Linked DNA regions of Oryctolagus cuniculus. The protein of the gene in region 1 interacts with the protein of each later gene in a biochemical or structural test. Links are inferred from orthologs where the notes say so. Each region holds a gene or a part of one and is shown on either strand. Other genes may lie near its edges.

What was found.
Region 2: of the proteins of MAP3K7 (region 1) and USP4, one has a biochemical effect on the other in vitro, tested with the Homo sapiens proteins (2 studies listed by BioGRID). The link is inferred for Oryctolagus cuniculus from reciprocal best matches to the Homo sapiens genes MAP3K7 and USP4.
Region 3: the proteins of MAP3K7 (region 1) and NOD2 form a complex in vitro, tested with the Homo sapiens proteins (2 studies listed by BioGRID). The link is inferred for Oryctolagus cuniculus from reciprocal best matches to the Homo sapiens genes MAP3K7 and NOD2.
Region 4: the proteins of MAP3K7 (region 1) and TRIM31 form a complex in vitro, tested with the Homo sapiens proteins (2 studies listed by BioGRID, with this or other methods). The link is inferred for Oryctolagus cuniculus from reciprocal best matches to the Homo sapiens genes MAP3K7 and TRIM31.

The regions. Positions count from the first base shown.
Region 1 is NC_091436.1:81,933,401-81,936,900, reverse strand, and holds part of MAP3K7 (mitogen-activated protein kinase kinase kinase 7), read right to left. Parts: intron 1,562-3,500; coding exon 1,431-1,561; intron 557-1,430; coding exon 427-556; intron 1-426. UniProt on the Homo sapiens protein: Serine/threonine kinase which acts as an essential component of the MAP kinase signal transduction pathway. Plays an important role in the cascades of cellular responses evoked by changes in the environment.
Region 2 is NC_091441.1:99,944,506-99,947,940, forward strand, and holds the end of USP4 (ubiquitin carboxyl-terminal hydrolase 4), read left to right. Parts: intron 1-1,922; coding exon 1,923-2,011; intron 2,012-2,301; coding exon 2,302-2,463; 3' UTR 2,464-2,935; downstream 2,936-3,435.
Region 3 is NC_091449.1:34,279,672-34,283,261, reverse strand, and holds the end of NOD2 (nucleotide-binding oligomerization domain-containing protein 2), read right to left. Parts: intron 1,587-3,590; coding exon of another isoform or gene 1,514-1,586; exon of another isoform or gene 1,239-1,513; coding exon 1,127-1,238; 3' UTR 501-1,126; downstream 1-500. UniProt on the Homo sapiens protein: Pattern recognition receptor (PRR) that detects bacterial peptidoglycan fragments and other danger signals and plays an important role in gastrointestinal immunity.
Region 4 is NC_091436.1:140,373,303-140,376,802, reverse strand, and holds part of TRIM31 (E3 ubiquitin-protein ligase TRIM31), read right to left. Parts: intron 2,616-3,500; coding exon 2,385-2,615; intron 1-2,384.

The sequences.
Region 1 (3,500 bases):
AAGGCCAAATCACATTTGGGTCTGGAAGAAACTAACTTCAAGACAAAATATTTTCTGTTATTTGATTTAAGTTCTAAAATCTAGTAGAACATTCAAAAACCTCCCAAACATTCTGGGTTTGGCATAATTTCAATTTCTCACTTAGATTTTCAGCTCATGTTTGAGCACAGTCAATTGTGTTTGATGAGATCTGTAATTAGGAAGGAATATTTTATAACTCAAATAATCTTACAAATCATACTTTTCTTCTATGGAATTTGAGATGATGCATGAACTATTTCTAAAAGCTCAGAAAATCTATTATAAATCTATTTTCTTTTCAAAAAATATGATACAAAAATGCTGAGGTTCCTAATGAAACCACTGGAGCTACTGCACCAAAAAGCATTACATTTTTGCTCCTCTTCAACTTGCAGTTCTTTTTACCTGCGGTCGCAGCAATCCTAGCTTCTATTTCAGACATGTCAGCACTCATCCTTTTGCCCTCAGAGGTTGGGGGCAAGCTTTCCACACTGCTTCCACGGGAGGCTCCCAAGCTCAAACGTCCGGATTCACTCTGTTAAAATTAGAAGTCAATCTGAATTACTGAAGTTTGTTAGATTTAGAAATCCCGGGCCCTAGAAGGAAGAAGATGCCCAGAGGGATTCCTATAGATCTTGTCCTGCTCTTAACGAACAGGGAAGTTTGCAGGGGAAAGGAGAGCAAATCAAAACAGGCAAAAATATAATAAATCTGAACAGCTCAAAATCATAGATTTAGGACAACTCCTTTAACTGGATAGTGCTGCCAGACTATACCATTTTACATTTTTTTTAAGTTTGTTCTTTTTTTTTTTTGACAGGCAGAGTGGACAGTGAGAGAGACAGACAGAGAGAAAGGTCTTCCTTTTTTCGTTGGTTCACCCTCCAATGGCCGCTGTGGCCGGTGAACTGCAGCCGGTACACTGCACTGATCCGAAGCCAGGAGCCAGGTGCTTCCTCCTGGTCTCCCCTGTGGGTACAGGGCCCAAGGACTTGGGCCATCCTCCTCTGCACTCCTGGGCCACAGCAGAGAGCTGGACTGGAAGAGGAGCAACCGGGACAGAATCCGGTGCCCCGACTGGGACTAGAACCTGGTGTGTTGGCGCCACAGGTGGAGGATTAGCCTAGTGAGCTGTGGTGCCGGCCACCATTTTACATTTTTAACTGTCAACTATTAAAGTGAGGGATCATTATAGGGAGGGAGTTACAAAGTTGGCAAAGACAACAACTGTTATTTGAAAGAAAAACAGTTCGGTAACAAACAGAAGGAGAAATCTCATTTTGTCTTTATTCTTAAACTCATCGGTTCCAGGAAGATTTCGGATTTATATAATAGAAGATGGCAAATCATTAACTTCAATTAAAATAATGTTAATAAGGTTATCATGCAACTTTCTTAATATAACAAACCTGTTGCTTGGCTTGATTTTTCAACAATTTAGATTCTAGGCGTTTAATAGTATCATTTGTGGCAGGAACTTGTTCCACGTTAGTGTCACTTTTATTACTGGTATTTGTAGAAGCGATATCCATGAATGAACCTAAGAAAGCAGAACATTTATCACTACAGGTTGAGAATAATACAAACACTTCAGTAAACAGTATGTAAGTTAAATTCTTTTCTAAACTAGCAGGACATGAATAGAAATAAAGACATTTTAAGTTAATAAAGATAAATAAAGATACTTAAAACAAACTTGTTTTTTTTAATAATATTTACTTACTTATTTGAAAGCCAGAGACAGAGAGATAGAGAGTGAAGAGACAGAATCTTCCATCTGCTATTTTATTTCCCAAATGCTTGCAAAAGCCAGGGTTGGGCCTGACCAAAGCCAGGAACTGTAAACTCCATCCAGGTCCCCCACATGTGTGGCAAGGGACCCAAGTTTTTGGGCCACTACCTGCTATTCCCCAGGTGCATTAAGGAAGCTGGACTGGACGGGGAGTCAGGACTTGATCCCAGGCACTATAGTATTGGATGTGAATGTCCCAAATGGCAGCCTGCGCTGCTGGGCTACAACATCTACTCCCAAATGAACCCATTTCAAGTGGAACTTAAGGACAGCTGAATAAAGGAACCTAAATGCCTAAATTATCTAATTAGAATATCTAGAATAACTTAAAGTTTTTAACCTGATCTAGGATAAAAACTGAAGGCTTTTGATTGAGATGGGGAAGCAAAAAGGAATAGTAATTTGAAGGAAGTAATAAAAAATTCACTATGGAAAATGTTAAGTTTGAGTTCCTGTTTGGTATTAAGCAAGTAGTTCCATGTATGAGTATGGAGTTCCAGTAGGAGATGGAGAAAAACATCAGTAAATAGATGGTAGATAATGCCATTAAAGCCATGATACTGGGTGGAGTGAGCAAGGAAACATGCATAGATAAGCCCTGCACACTCTTACATTTATAGACTGAAGACATGAATAATCAGCTAATAAGGAAACTGGGAACAAATGGCAAGAGATAGAAGACAAAAACCAGGCTAGTGGGATTCTGGAAACCAGTGGAAGAACATGCTATAGGAAAGCCAGAGTAATAAACGGTGTCAAATGCTAGAGTCAAATACAATGAGAACTGAAAAATCACTTACTAGAGTCTAACTCTGTGTTACCATAATACAGAGATAATTGCTGACCTTGACAAGAATAATTCCACGGTAGTAGCAGAATAAATGTTCAAATGAAGTGGGTACAGTATAGAATGGGAAGAGAGATTTTTTTCAGAGAATGCAGAGACAGCCTAGGTTTGCTCTGGGAATGATTCCAGTAGAAAACTGGGATGGGCAGATGGGTATGATGCACAACTAAAAAGATTCACCTTTGGCTACAAGCTTGGATAGTGAAGCCATAGTAATGAAAGAACCTACAGTAGATGAGTGTAAGTGCAGACAGGTAGGCAGATATAGTACAGAATCTTGTGGAAACTGTCCTTTGATTACTCCAATGTTCTCAGAAAAATAGCAAACAATGTCCATGTCATCTTAGAGTGAGCAGTGGTGAGGAGGTGCCTGAAATTTGAGGAGAGGAGCTAAAGCATAAGATTAAGTCACTGGGACCAGTGCTGTGGCATAGCAGGTCAAGCCACACCTGCAGTGGCAGCATCCAATCTGGGAGCCGGCTCAAGTCCTGGTGGCTCCACTTCCGATCCAGCTCTCTGCTAATACACCTAAGAGAGCAGTGGAAGATGGTCCAAGAAATTAGGCCCCTGTATCAATGTGGGAAACCCGGGAAAAGCTCCTGGCTCCTGACTGGATCAGCCCTTGCATTTCTCTCTCTCTCTGCTTCTCTGTAAATCTTTCAAATAAATAAATAAATTTTTTTTAAAATTAAGTCATCTAGGAGAGAGGTGATGAACTACAAATATAAGTGTCCGGTGGCAATGAATACATAATTGAAGAGAGTGAGCACCTGCTGTCTCCAGCCATATTCAGCTGCACTGACACAGGCAAGGAGCAAACTAAGTGCCAGATTTAATCAG
Region 2 (3,435 bases), on another chromosome or scaffold:
TGCGTGTCTGCAGCCTGGGCCCGCGAGGAAGGCGGGAAAGACATCATTTTTTTTGCTTTCTCTGGGACTCCCCGCCCCCGCCGGTTCCCCTCTTCTCTCTTCCTCCATCTCATTGGTCATGACTTGGTCACAGGGCTACGTGGATGTGCAGGGAGGCTGGGACAGTCAGGCCCCTGCTGTCCCACAGTGCACACTGTCGTGACTTGGCTTTTTTCCCCAGATGAACTTTGGTATCTGTTCACTTTCAGCTGCCGTCCTCACGTGCGAACACACGCCCTGCGCAAGTCTCGGCTGCTTGTGCGGGGGCGCACTGTGGTCCCCTCGTTGCAACTGCGCACAGAGCCCTGTGGCTGCTGTTAGGCCGGGCACAGACCACATGAGCACCTGCTGTGGCCTTGGCCTGGCTCATTCACAGGCAGTCCGTTCCGTAGGGAGGCTGGAGCCCCAACACCGCGCCCAGAGTCTCAACAGGCATTGAAACCAAAAACCACACTCTGCAGGCTCAGATCCCACGGCGGCCGGGATCGCCATCATTTTAACCTGACATTTAAGGCCTGCTGGAAACGCTGTGATGTGAGGACAGGCGGCCCTTGCTTTCCCTCGCTTTCCCTCGCTCTGTCTCTCTTTATTTGGAAGATAGACACACACACAGACAGATGTTCCATCTGCTTGGTCATTCAACAGATGCTACCAGCCGTCGGCTGGGGCCGAGTCCCACCTGGCACTTGGGGCATCACCTGCTGCCTCCTGGGGTGTGCGTTACAGGACGCTGGAATCAGAAGCAGAGCCGGGACTTGGACCCAGGCCCTCTGATGTGGGCATCCCCGGCAGCAGCTTAACCACCACACCAGATGCGCACCCCTACAGATGGGACTCAGGATTTTAGAGGAAGATAAATTTAAAGGTTGTCCACATCCTAGGTCACGAACCCAAATGCCCTAAGCAAGCAGGCTGCAGCGGTCCCGTGAGCCTTCCAGGACACTGACTTGCCGTCTTTTCAGAGTCTGTTTTGCTTGGATTTTAAGACATCCGAGCTGCCTTTGTGGAGCCCCTGGCTCTAGATTTAGATCAGAACCATCCTGAACATTGGCACTGGATATATTGTATTTTTTAGTTTCCAAAAATTAAAGTTTATTATTTATTTTAAAACTTTTAGGGGCTGGTGCTGTGGTGTAGCAGGTAAAGCTGCTGCCTACAGTGCTGGCATCCCGTATGGGTGCCAGTTCAAGTCCCTACTGCTCTGTTTCAGATCCAGCTCTCCGCTGTGGCCTGGGAAAACAGTGGAAGACGGCCCAGGTCCTCGGGTCCCTGCACCTGCATGGGAGACCCAGAAGAAGCTTGAGGTTTCTGGCTTTGGATCGGCCCAGCTCCGGCTTTGCAGTCATTTGGGAAGTGAACCAGAGGGTGGAAGACCTCTCTCTTTGCTTCTGCCTCAGCAACTCTGACTTTGAAATAAATAAATACATCTTTTTAAAAAAGGGTATTTGAAAGAGTTGCAGGGAGAAATACAGAGAGCTTCCATTGCCTGGCTCACTCCCCCATGGCCAAAAACGCCAGCCACGTCCCAGAGACCGAAGCCAGGAACCGAGAGCTTTATCCAGGTCTCCCACGTGGGTGCAGGGGCTCGTGCACCTGGGCCATCTTCCCGCTGCTTTTCCCAGGAGCCTCAGCAGGGAGCTGCATTGCAGCCCTGTTGTGCTGGGCTGCCGGTGCTGCAGGTGGCAGCTTTACCTGCTACAGCATAGTGCCGGCCCCTTACAGCTCCACGCTTACCCTTAGGAGAAGGAATACATAAGGAACAATGGGCTGTCTGGGCTAAGACACTGTAAATTATTTCATCCTGAGAGTCGTTGCTGTGCTGGGTTCTGTGTGCTCGCTGCGAGCCTGACTCCGGGCCTGGTGGGTGTCCTTTTGACTTGCAGACACTGCGTACGCGAAGAACAAACTGAACGGGAAGTGGTACTACTTTGATGACAGCAACGTGTCCCTGGCCTCCGAAGAGCAGATCGTGGTGAGTCGGCCCTGACGCCTGCGTCTTCCTCTTGCCTTTGTGAGGTGGCAGCGGGAAGGGTGCTCCTCCGTGACCGTGTCGAGGAGGAGGGGCTGCCCTTTCTTTGGACCCCTTTCCTGAAAGAACCGTGCGGCTCTCCTCGGGCCCTGCCTTTGCCCGCTCCCCTCGCAAGGGCGCAGGGGCCCGCAGCCGGGGAAGGGCCTTCGCGGCCACCTCTGCGTCTGCAGGGCAAGGCGGCAGATTGGTGCACGACAGCCAGCCGGTAAGTGGCCTTCCCCCTTGTCTTTCAGACAAAAGCGGCGTACGTGCTGTTTTACCAGCGTCGGGATGATGAGTTCTATGAGACGCCGTCTCGGGCCAGTTTTCCTGGCTCCTCGGACGGAGGGACCAGACCGGGCAGCTCGCAGCAGGCCTCGGGGGATGAGGAGGCGTGCAGCATGGACACCAACTGATGTGGACTCTGACCCCGGAGGACATCCGGACGCCCTGGGGACTCCTGGTGTTCAGTCTAAAGACCAGATGAGAAAAGGCCCTTTTATGAGCAGAAGAAAAAAAAAGACCTTGTTTGCTCAGAAGGGCTATGTCAAGAGGCTGAATTATTTTTCCTTTTAAACGGGTGGTGAGACATCTGTAACACCCGCGGAGCCGCGCGGGTGGGGGTGCACAGGTGTGAGTGCTGGGTGCCTGCCGAGGAGAGGAGCGTGGTCAGCGGAGGCGGCCGGCGGCACAGGGTCCCTGTGCAGCTCTGGACACTGGTCCCCGGCCCGGTTGTCTGCCAGGGTCGCCCTTGCTCTGTGCGCTCAGATGGGTTGATAGTTTTCTAAACCTTAGCCACTGGAGCCCATTTCTGGTTCTCAGCCTCGAGTCATCTTGGAATTCCCAGCTCTCCTCCCTGCTAATGAAATGAAGATATCTGGTGTTGGGGCCTCTGCCTCTCAATCTCCCGTGGAGCCTGGCAGCCCTGTTGTGCGCCCCTCCCCCCACCCCCTTGATGAATTGAGACCTACGGATACTGTGTGGGCCTCTTATTAGTCGTGGAGACAACTGGGTCCCAGCCAATGGCTTCTCCTACACGTGAGGAGGGGGACCCGAGGGCCCGGACCTGCGGGTTACCCCGACCCTCCCCCTGCCCTGCCCCGCCCCGCCCCACCCCCGGCGCACGCCGCCCCTCTGGCTGCCTCCTGTGCTCGGAGCCCCTGCTACCCTTCCTGGTCACGGGGGCTGAAAGAACACAGTTGTCCGGGCTTTTTGTCTGACCTTTAACCTAAGTGGGGAGGATGTTGGGGCTTCTGATCTTGGGCACGCGCGATTGCGGTCGATCGGGTGCACGCGGTGACCGTTGGCGGGGGTGGGGTAGCCGTGTCTCCGCGCTGCTTGGTGAGGACGTGGCGCTGCGGGTCTCCCGTGGGGTAGGGGCGGGCAGC
Region 3 (3,590 bases), on another chromosome or scaffold:
AGACTTCTCTCTGGCAAGCAGCCACCTGAGCCCTTGCTCATTAAGTGCAGCGAAGAACGATTCAACACAGAAGGCTGCTCGTAGAAGAAAGCTGTACACAGATCTCCCCCGTCTTTCTCCTAACGTTAAAGACTCCTGGAGCCACTTGGAGAGAATCAAGAGAGACACGGGGCCTCTGGCGCACCTGCTGTACCCTTTCTGCCTGGGCACGCCAGGCTCCCGCACCGCTCAGAACTTCATGCTGGGTGAGACCCTTCAGAGCCGCAGCCAAATGTGTTTTGATTGCCAGGCCTATTTCTAAGACTTGCTTCTGCCTGAAGCAATAAATCACCCGGTTGAAAACATTTCCCTCCCCCTTCCAGTCGAAAATGGTGCCTTAAAATTTGACAAGTTTTATGATTATTTAAAAATGTTTGCTCTCTCTGTGTAACTCTGACTTTCAAGTAAATAAATAAATCTTTTTAAAAAATGTTTGGTCACAACAAAGACAGCTTTGGTGATGCAGTTGTTTTCTGTGATTATTTATAGCACAAAGTTCATGGTCATGTTTTCTATAAAAGTATAAACTTGAGAGAATACAAGGTGGTTTATAAATATTAAACAGTTTTCACACGTCATCATCTTTGACACAGGACCTGATGGTTCACGAAGGTTTCATAGGCATCCTATTGAAAGACCCAGAGACGTCTGCTTACAAGGAGGGGCCCGATTTTGCCCTGTAAACCTTCACTCCATAACTGAGTGTCCCAAAGCATTCTGGGAAGCCTGTCATCAACATTCAGGACACAAACACCAACCAGAAGCCTGGCGCGCTCTGCGATGCTGGCCCAGGTTAATTTTCAAAAGGTGCATTTGGATGAGGAGCTGTTTCTCAAGGCCACACTGAGGAGTAATTGATTCCACTGGAAAGGAAAGTCCCCCTGTGATCTCAGCTGGAGTGTGCTTGTATCTTTTGTGCAAATCCAGAATGTCTTGAGGAACAAATGGCGGTCATGGGTCCCCTTCCAACAGCACCAGAAAAGACAGCGGGGGCAGTTGTAGCCCCTCCCGCCTTGGACGCTGGGTCTGGGGTGGGGGTGCCACCCGTGATATAGCACAGCTGAGGACAGGAATCTTCTCGATCTCATCACGTGCAGCAGTCCAGGCTGAGTGGCAGGACCAGAGGTGACAATGGCTGGGCGGATGTCCAAGAGTTGAGACGTGGCAGGAAGTTGCTTCTTGAATACTCTTCCCGCTTCCTGAGAGGAATGGGCAGGGGTCTGTGCTAATGCTCACGTCCCACTGACCCACGTCAGAACCCTGCAGTGCCTCTTGTATGCCCATCGGCTGAATCTTGGGAGGCACTCGAAGGCAACACTAGGCCTGGGAGAAGCCTGTTGGGGAAGACTCCTGGGCTCCCGGCTCTTCCAGAGGAAGGACAGAGGAAGCTCTGTCCTTCTGGGCAGGACAGAGCTCAGTCGGAATGGGCCGCTGCCAGACGGGACGCAGCTCCTGGGGGCCAAACGCACAGACGTCACAGCAAGAGTCTGCTGTCCCTGTGGCTGAGCGCCTCCATTTCCTCTGGAGAGAAAGGGTTCCCGCGGAGCCTGCAGGGGACCAAGTGGAGAGGTCTGCGTGAGGACAACGAAAGAGCAGTGCTTTCCAACCACGCTGCTCCGCTCTCAGCCCACGCCGGGGAGGGGCCCAGCCCAGGGGCAGTGCTCCTGGAGGGCAGTCTGCGCTGGGACCCAGGGCACGCAGGAAGTGTTCTGCATGCAAGGCTCCGTGACTTTGCAGAACGCGGGTGCGCCACACGCGGCCCAAGGCCGGCCATTCTTTTTAAGGCAACAGCAGAATCTGTCAAGAATGCAATGAGCAAGTCCTGCTGCTCCCCCAGGCTCTGTCAACAGGCAGCAAACAACATCATAACCCTTAAAATATCAACCTGATGCTGGTGGCTTGTGCCTTGGAAACAGACTGTGACATTCCTTAGTGCTGTGCAGTGGCTTCACCAAAGAAAGAGAGAAAACCTACACGCTGCCCAGGACTTGATGACCTCCCAAGCTACAGGGATTACTAAATGATACAGAGAGAAAACTCTCCAGCCCCGTCTTTAGAAGCTTTTATTTTTAATGTTGTCATTTGATATCAACATTTGCTGCTGCCTTGATATGCTTTTTGAGGAAAGGACAAGATCTGCACATTTGAAGTGGGGGACACGGCCTTGCAGGGATGAGGCATTAGCCCTGTAACATGCGGGAGCCCAAAGCGCTTGGGCTGAGACGGTAGGTGTAGGGCTGGTGGTGTGACACACGGGGTTAAGCCGCCACTTGGAATGCTGGCATCCCATATCAAAGCACTGGTTAGAAAACTGGCCGCTCCACTTCTGATCCAGCTCCCTGCTAATGTACCTGGAAAAGCAGCAGAGGATGGCCCAAGAACTCGGGCCCCTGATACACATGTGGGAAACCAGGATGGAGTTCTTGGCTCCTGGCTGTGGACTGGCCCAGAACTGGCCATTGCAGCCATTTAGGGAGTGAACCAGCAAATGGAAGATCTTTCTCTTTCTCTCTTTCTCTCTCTCTCTGCCTTCCAAATAAATAAAATAAATCTTAAAAAAAAAAAAAATGACAGTAGGTGTGGAGAGTCTGCAGATGCAAATTGGTGTGCCCATCTGCCCATCTGCTCATCCGAGAGGACCAGCCCTTTCTCTCTGGATAATTACTGAAATTCTGCATGGGGTTCTGGATTGCCAGCTCTTTTTAAGAAAACCCTGTGGGCCAGCACTGTGGCATAGTAGGCTAAGCCCCTACCTGCAATGCCAGCATCCCATATGGGCACTGGTTCGTGTCCTGGCTGCTCTACTTCCAACCCAGCTCCCTGCTAAAAGCCTGGGAAAGCAGCAGAAGATGGCCCAAGTACTTAGGTCCCTGCACCCACGTGGGAGACCAGAAGAAGCTCCTGGCTTTGGATCGGTCCAGCTCTGGCTGTTGCATCCATTTGGGGGGTGAACCAGTGGATGGAAGACCTCCCTCTGCTTCTATCTCTGCCTCTGCCTCTCTGTAACTCTGACTCTCAAATAAATAAATAAATCTTTTGAAAAGAAAAGAAAACCCTGCAATACAGTTTTAAAATATTGGTATGTAGCCCAATATGTAAAACCTGTTCATGATGTGTTAAGCCAGGGGAAACCTTCCTGATGGTTTTGAGTGAGAAAGAGATGTTTGGAAACAAGGAAGACAAATCCTTGATTTCAACACTCTCTCCACGTGGAGGAAGGACTACAGCTTTCAGTTACCTAGAGCTGAACATGCGACTGTGCAGCAGCTCCACCCTGTGTAGCCTCCATCCGTGTTGCAGGGCTCTGATACAACAGCCTGACCTGTGAAGGTGGATGCAATGCCCAGGGCACAGAAGCTGTGCTCCTTTATTTCATTCTCAACCATACCCCTATCCACTGGGCTGTTTAGAACAGAGCAGTTCTCAGTAGGTACTCATGATTTTCAAACGAAAGAAGCCAGGCCAGTGCTGTGGCCCAGGGGCTAAAGCCACGGCTTGCTGCATCCCATACAAGAGTGTCAACTGGAGTCCTGGTTACTCAGCTTCAGATT
Region 4 (3,500 bases), about 58 Mb from region 1:
TCTCTCAACTTAGTAGGACCACATTTTCCTTCAACAGCGGACAATTAAGCATCTGAGCTGAGAGGTGCTGACATGCAAACTCTACACTAGAGTTCAAACACTCAGTACAAAAGACACCCCTCCAGAATGTGAAATATCTCTTTATTACTTTAAAAATATTGATGATTTTGATTGATATATTAAGTTAAATATTTTATTGGAATTAATTTCACCTGTTTCTTTTTAATGGGGCTACTAGGAAAACGTTAAATTACAGAGTATGCTGTGTGTTGTGGCCCAGCAGATTAAGCGACCACCTGGGGTGCCTACATCTCAAATCAGACTGCCAGGTCAAGCCCCCACTACTGTGCTTCCAATCCAGCTTTCTGCCACTAGACCTGGAAGACAGCAGGTGATGGCGCAAGTACTTGAACCCCGGCCACCCACGTGGACCACCAGGACGGAGTCCCTGACTCGTGGCTTTGTCCTGGCCCAGCCCTGGCTATTCTGGGCATTTGGGAAGGGAACTGACAGATGCAAGACCTCTCTCCTCTCTCTCCCTCTCCCACCCTCTCTGTCACTTTGCCTTTCAAATAAATAAATCTTTTTTTTAAAGCTCCATGGAAAATAAAATTAAAATATAGTTTTATTTTATGGCAAAAAAATTTGAAGTCAGTTAATAGTGTTTTCATTATATGCTTTTTTTTTTTTTTTGACAGGCAGAGTGGACAGTGAGAGAGAGACAGAGAGAAAGGTCTTCCTTTTCCATTGGTTCACCCTCCAATGGCCGCTGCAGCCGGCGCGCTGTGGCCGGCGCACCACGCTGATCCGATGGCAGGAGCCAGGTGCTTCTCCTGGTCTCCCATGGGGTGCAGGGCCCAAGGACTTGGGCCATCCTCCACTGCACTCCCTGGCCACAGCAGAGAGCTGGACAGGAAGAGGAGCAACCAGGAATAGAACCCGGCACCCATATGGGATGCCGACACCACAGGCGGAGGATTAACCAAGTGAGTCACAGCGCCGGCCTCCATTAAATGCATTTTTAATGAACTTTTTGAGCACCTCTCATATTTCAACTTTTTGCACCCAAATTAATGTATCTTTTAATTCAGTTTTTCACAAATTTTTTTAAAATATAATTTTTATCTATTTGAAAAGGAGAGAGAGAGAAAGACCATTGCTGGTTTACTCCCAGAATGCTCACAACAGCCAGGGCTGAGCCAGGTAGAAGTCAGGTCTCCCACATGGATGGCAAAGACCCTATTACTTGCACCATCACCTGCCTCCTCCCAGGGTCCCCGGATACACATTAGCAGGAATCTGGGTGGGAAGTGGAAATAGAACTTCAACCAGGCACTGCCATAAGGGATATGGGTGCCCCAAGTGGCATCTTTTTTTTTTTTTTTTTTTTTTTTTTGGACAGGCAGAGTTAGACAGAGAGAGAGACAGAGAGAAAGGTCTTCCTTTTGCGTTGGTTCACCCCCAAAATGGCTGCTACATCCAGTGTGCTGAGGCCAGTGCGCTGCACTGTTCCGAAGCCAGGAGCCAGGTCCTTCCTCCTGGTCTCCCATGGGGGCGCAGGGCCCAAGCATTTGGGCCATCCTCCACTGCCTTCCCAGGGCACAGCAGAGAACTGGACTGGAATAGGAGCAACTGGGACAGAATCCGGACCCCACCTGGGACTAGAACCCGGGGTGCCGGCACCGCTGGCAGAGGATTAGCCTAGTGAGCTGTGGTGCCGGCCCAAGTGGCGTCATAACCAATGCATCAAATACTCGCCCTTTAGCATTTTGAAGTTTTCTTGCAGGTGGCTTGTAATTTTTTTTTTTTTTTTTTTGACAGGCAGAGTGGACAGTGAGAGAGAAAGACAGAGAGAAAGGTCTTTCTTTGCCGTTGGTTCACCCTCCAATGGCCACCGCGGCCAGCGTACCGTGCTGATCCGATGGCAGGAGCCAGGTACTTATCCTGGTCTCCCATGGGGTGCAGGGCCCAAGCACCTGGGCCATCCTCCACTGCACTCCCTGGCCACAGCAGAGAGCTGGCCTGGAAGAGGGGCAACTGGGACAGAATCCGGCACCCCGACCGGGACTAGAACCCAGTGTGCCGGCGCCGCAAGGTGGAGGATTAGCCTATTGAGCCGCGGCGCCGGCCGTAATGTGTTTCTAAATTACATGCATGGCTCACATTATATTTCTAAATTATACCATGTAGTAGCTCACATTATATTTCTAAATTACACGTGTGGCTCGCGCTGTGATTCTAAAGTATATGTATCAGCTTCACCTGTTTCTACTGGGCAGTGCTAGGCTAGAGCAGTCTCCGGCATCCTGGCAGGCACTGGGTGCTCTGGCCAGAGACTAGGGCCTGGCTCTGCCTGGCTGCGATTCTGTCCCCGAGGGACTCACCTTCAGCAGCTGTTGGGGTGGCATTCGTTGCTTGGCCTCCAGGCGGTCCGTGAGATTCCTGAGAGAGTTGAGTTGTGCCTGGGTGGCAGTGTTGTAGACCTTACCCTCCTTGGCTTCCTCCAGCCCCAGCCATGTGATCCGGGACAGGAGGAAGTCCTTCTCCTCCTTTAGGGCCTGCCCCAAATGCTCGAATTCAGCCAGGATCCTTTGCTTCTCTAAATCCACCTGGGCCTGGGGGTGAGGGACAGGGAGAGAGAGAGAAGAGGTGGCCTCAACCATCTTTCCAGCCCACCTTATTACATTTTTTTATTTGTTTAGACGGAGTATCAACATAGAACAGTGTGCTGTGGCAGACGTGAGAAGACATGAGGAGAAGAAACTTTTTTTTTTCTTAAAAAATTAGTTTATTTGAAAGGCAGAGTGACAGAGAGGGCGAGGACGAGGGCGAGGGCGAGGGCGAGGGAGAGGGAGAGGGAGAGATCTTCCATCTGCTGGTTTACTCTCAAATGCCCACAATAGCCTGGGCTGAGCCAGACTGGAGCCAGGAGCCAAGAACTTCATCCAAGTCTCCTACGTGGGTGACAGGGATCCAAGTACTTGAGTCACCTTCCACTGATTTCCCAGGTACATTAGCAGGGAGCTGGATCAGAAGTAGAGCAGTTGGCACTGGAATCAGTGCTCATACGAAATGCTGGCATCGAAGGTAATGGCTTAACCCTCTGAGCCACAATGCTGGTCCCAAGAACAAACTTTTAAAAGCACTTCCAGGGCCAGTGTTGTGGCACAGCAGGTTAACCGTTGCTTACAAGGAAGTTGACCCATATCAAAGTTTGTGTTCTGGCTGCTCTACTTCCTATACAGCTCCCTGCTAATGCACCTAGGAAGACAAGTGCTTGGGAAGACCCAAGCACTGGGGTCCCTGCCACCCATATGGAAGACCTGGATGGAGCTCAGGGTTACCGGCTTCTGCCTGGCCCAACTCCTCACTATTGTGGCCATTTGGGACGTGAACCAGCAAATGGAAGGTCTCTTCCTCTCCCTCTTGTAACTCTGCCTTTCAAATAAATAAATAAAACATCTTTAATTTTTAAATAAATTATGCTTTCCTTTGTGCTC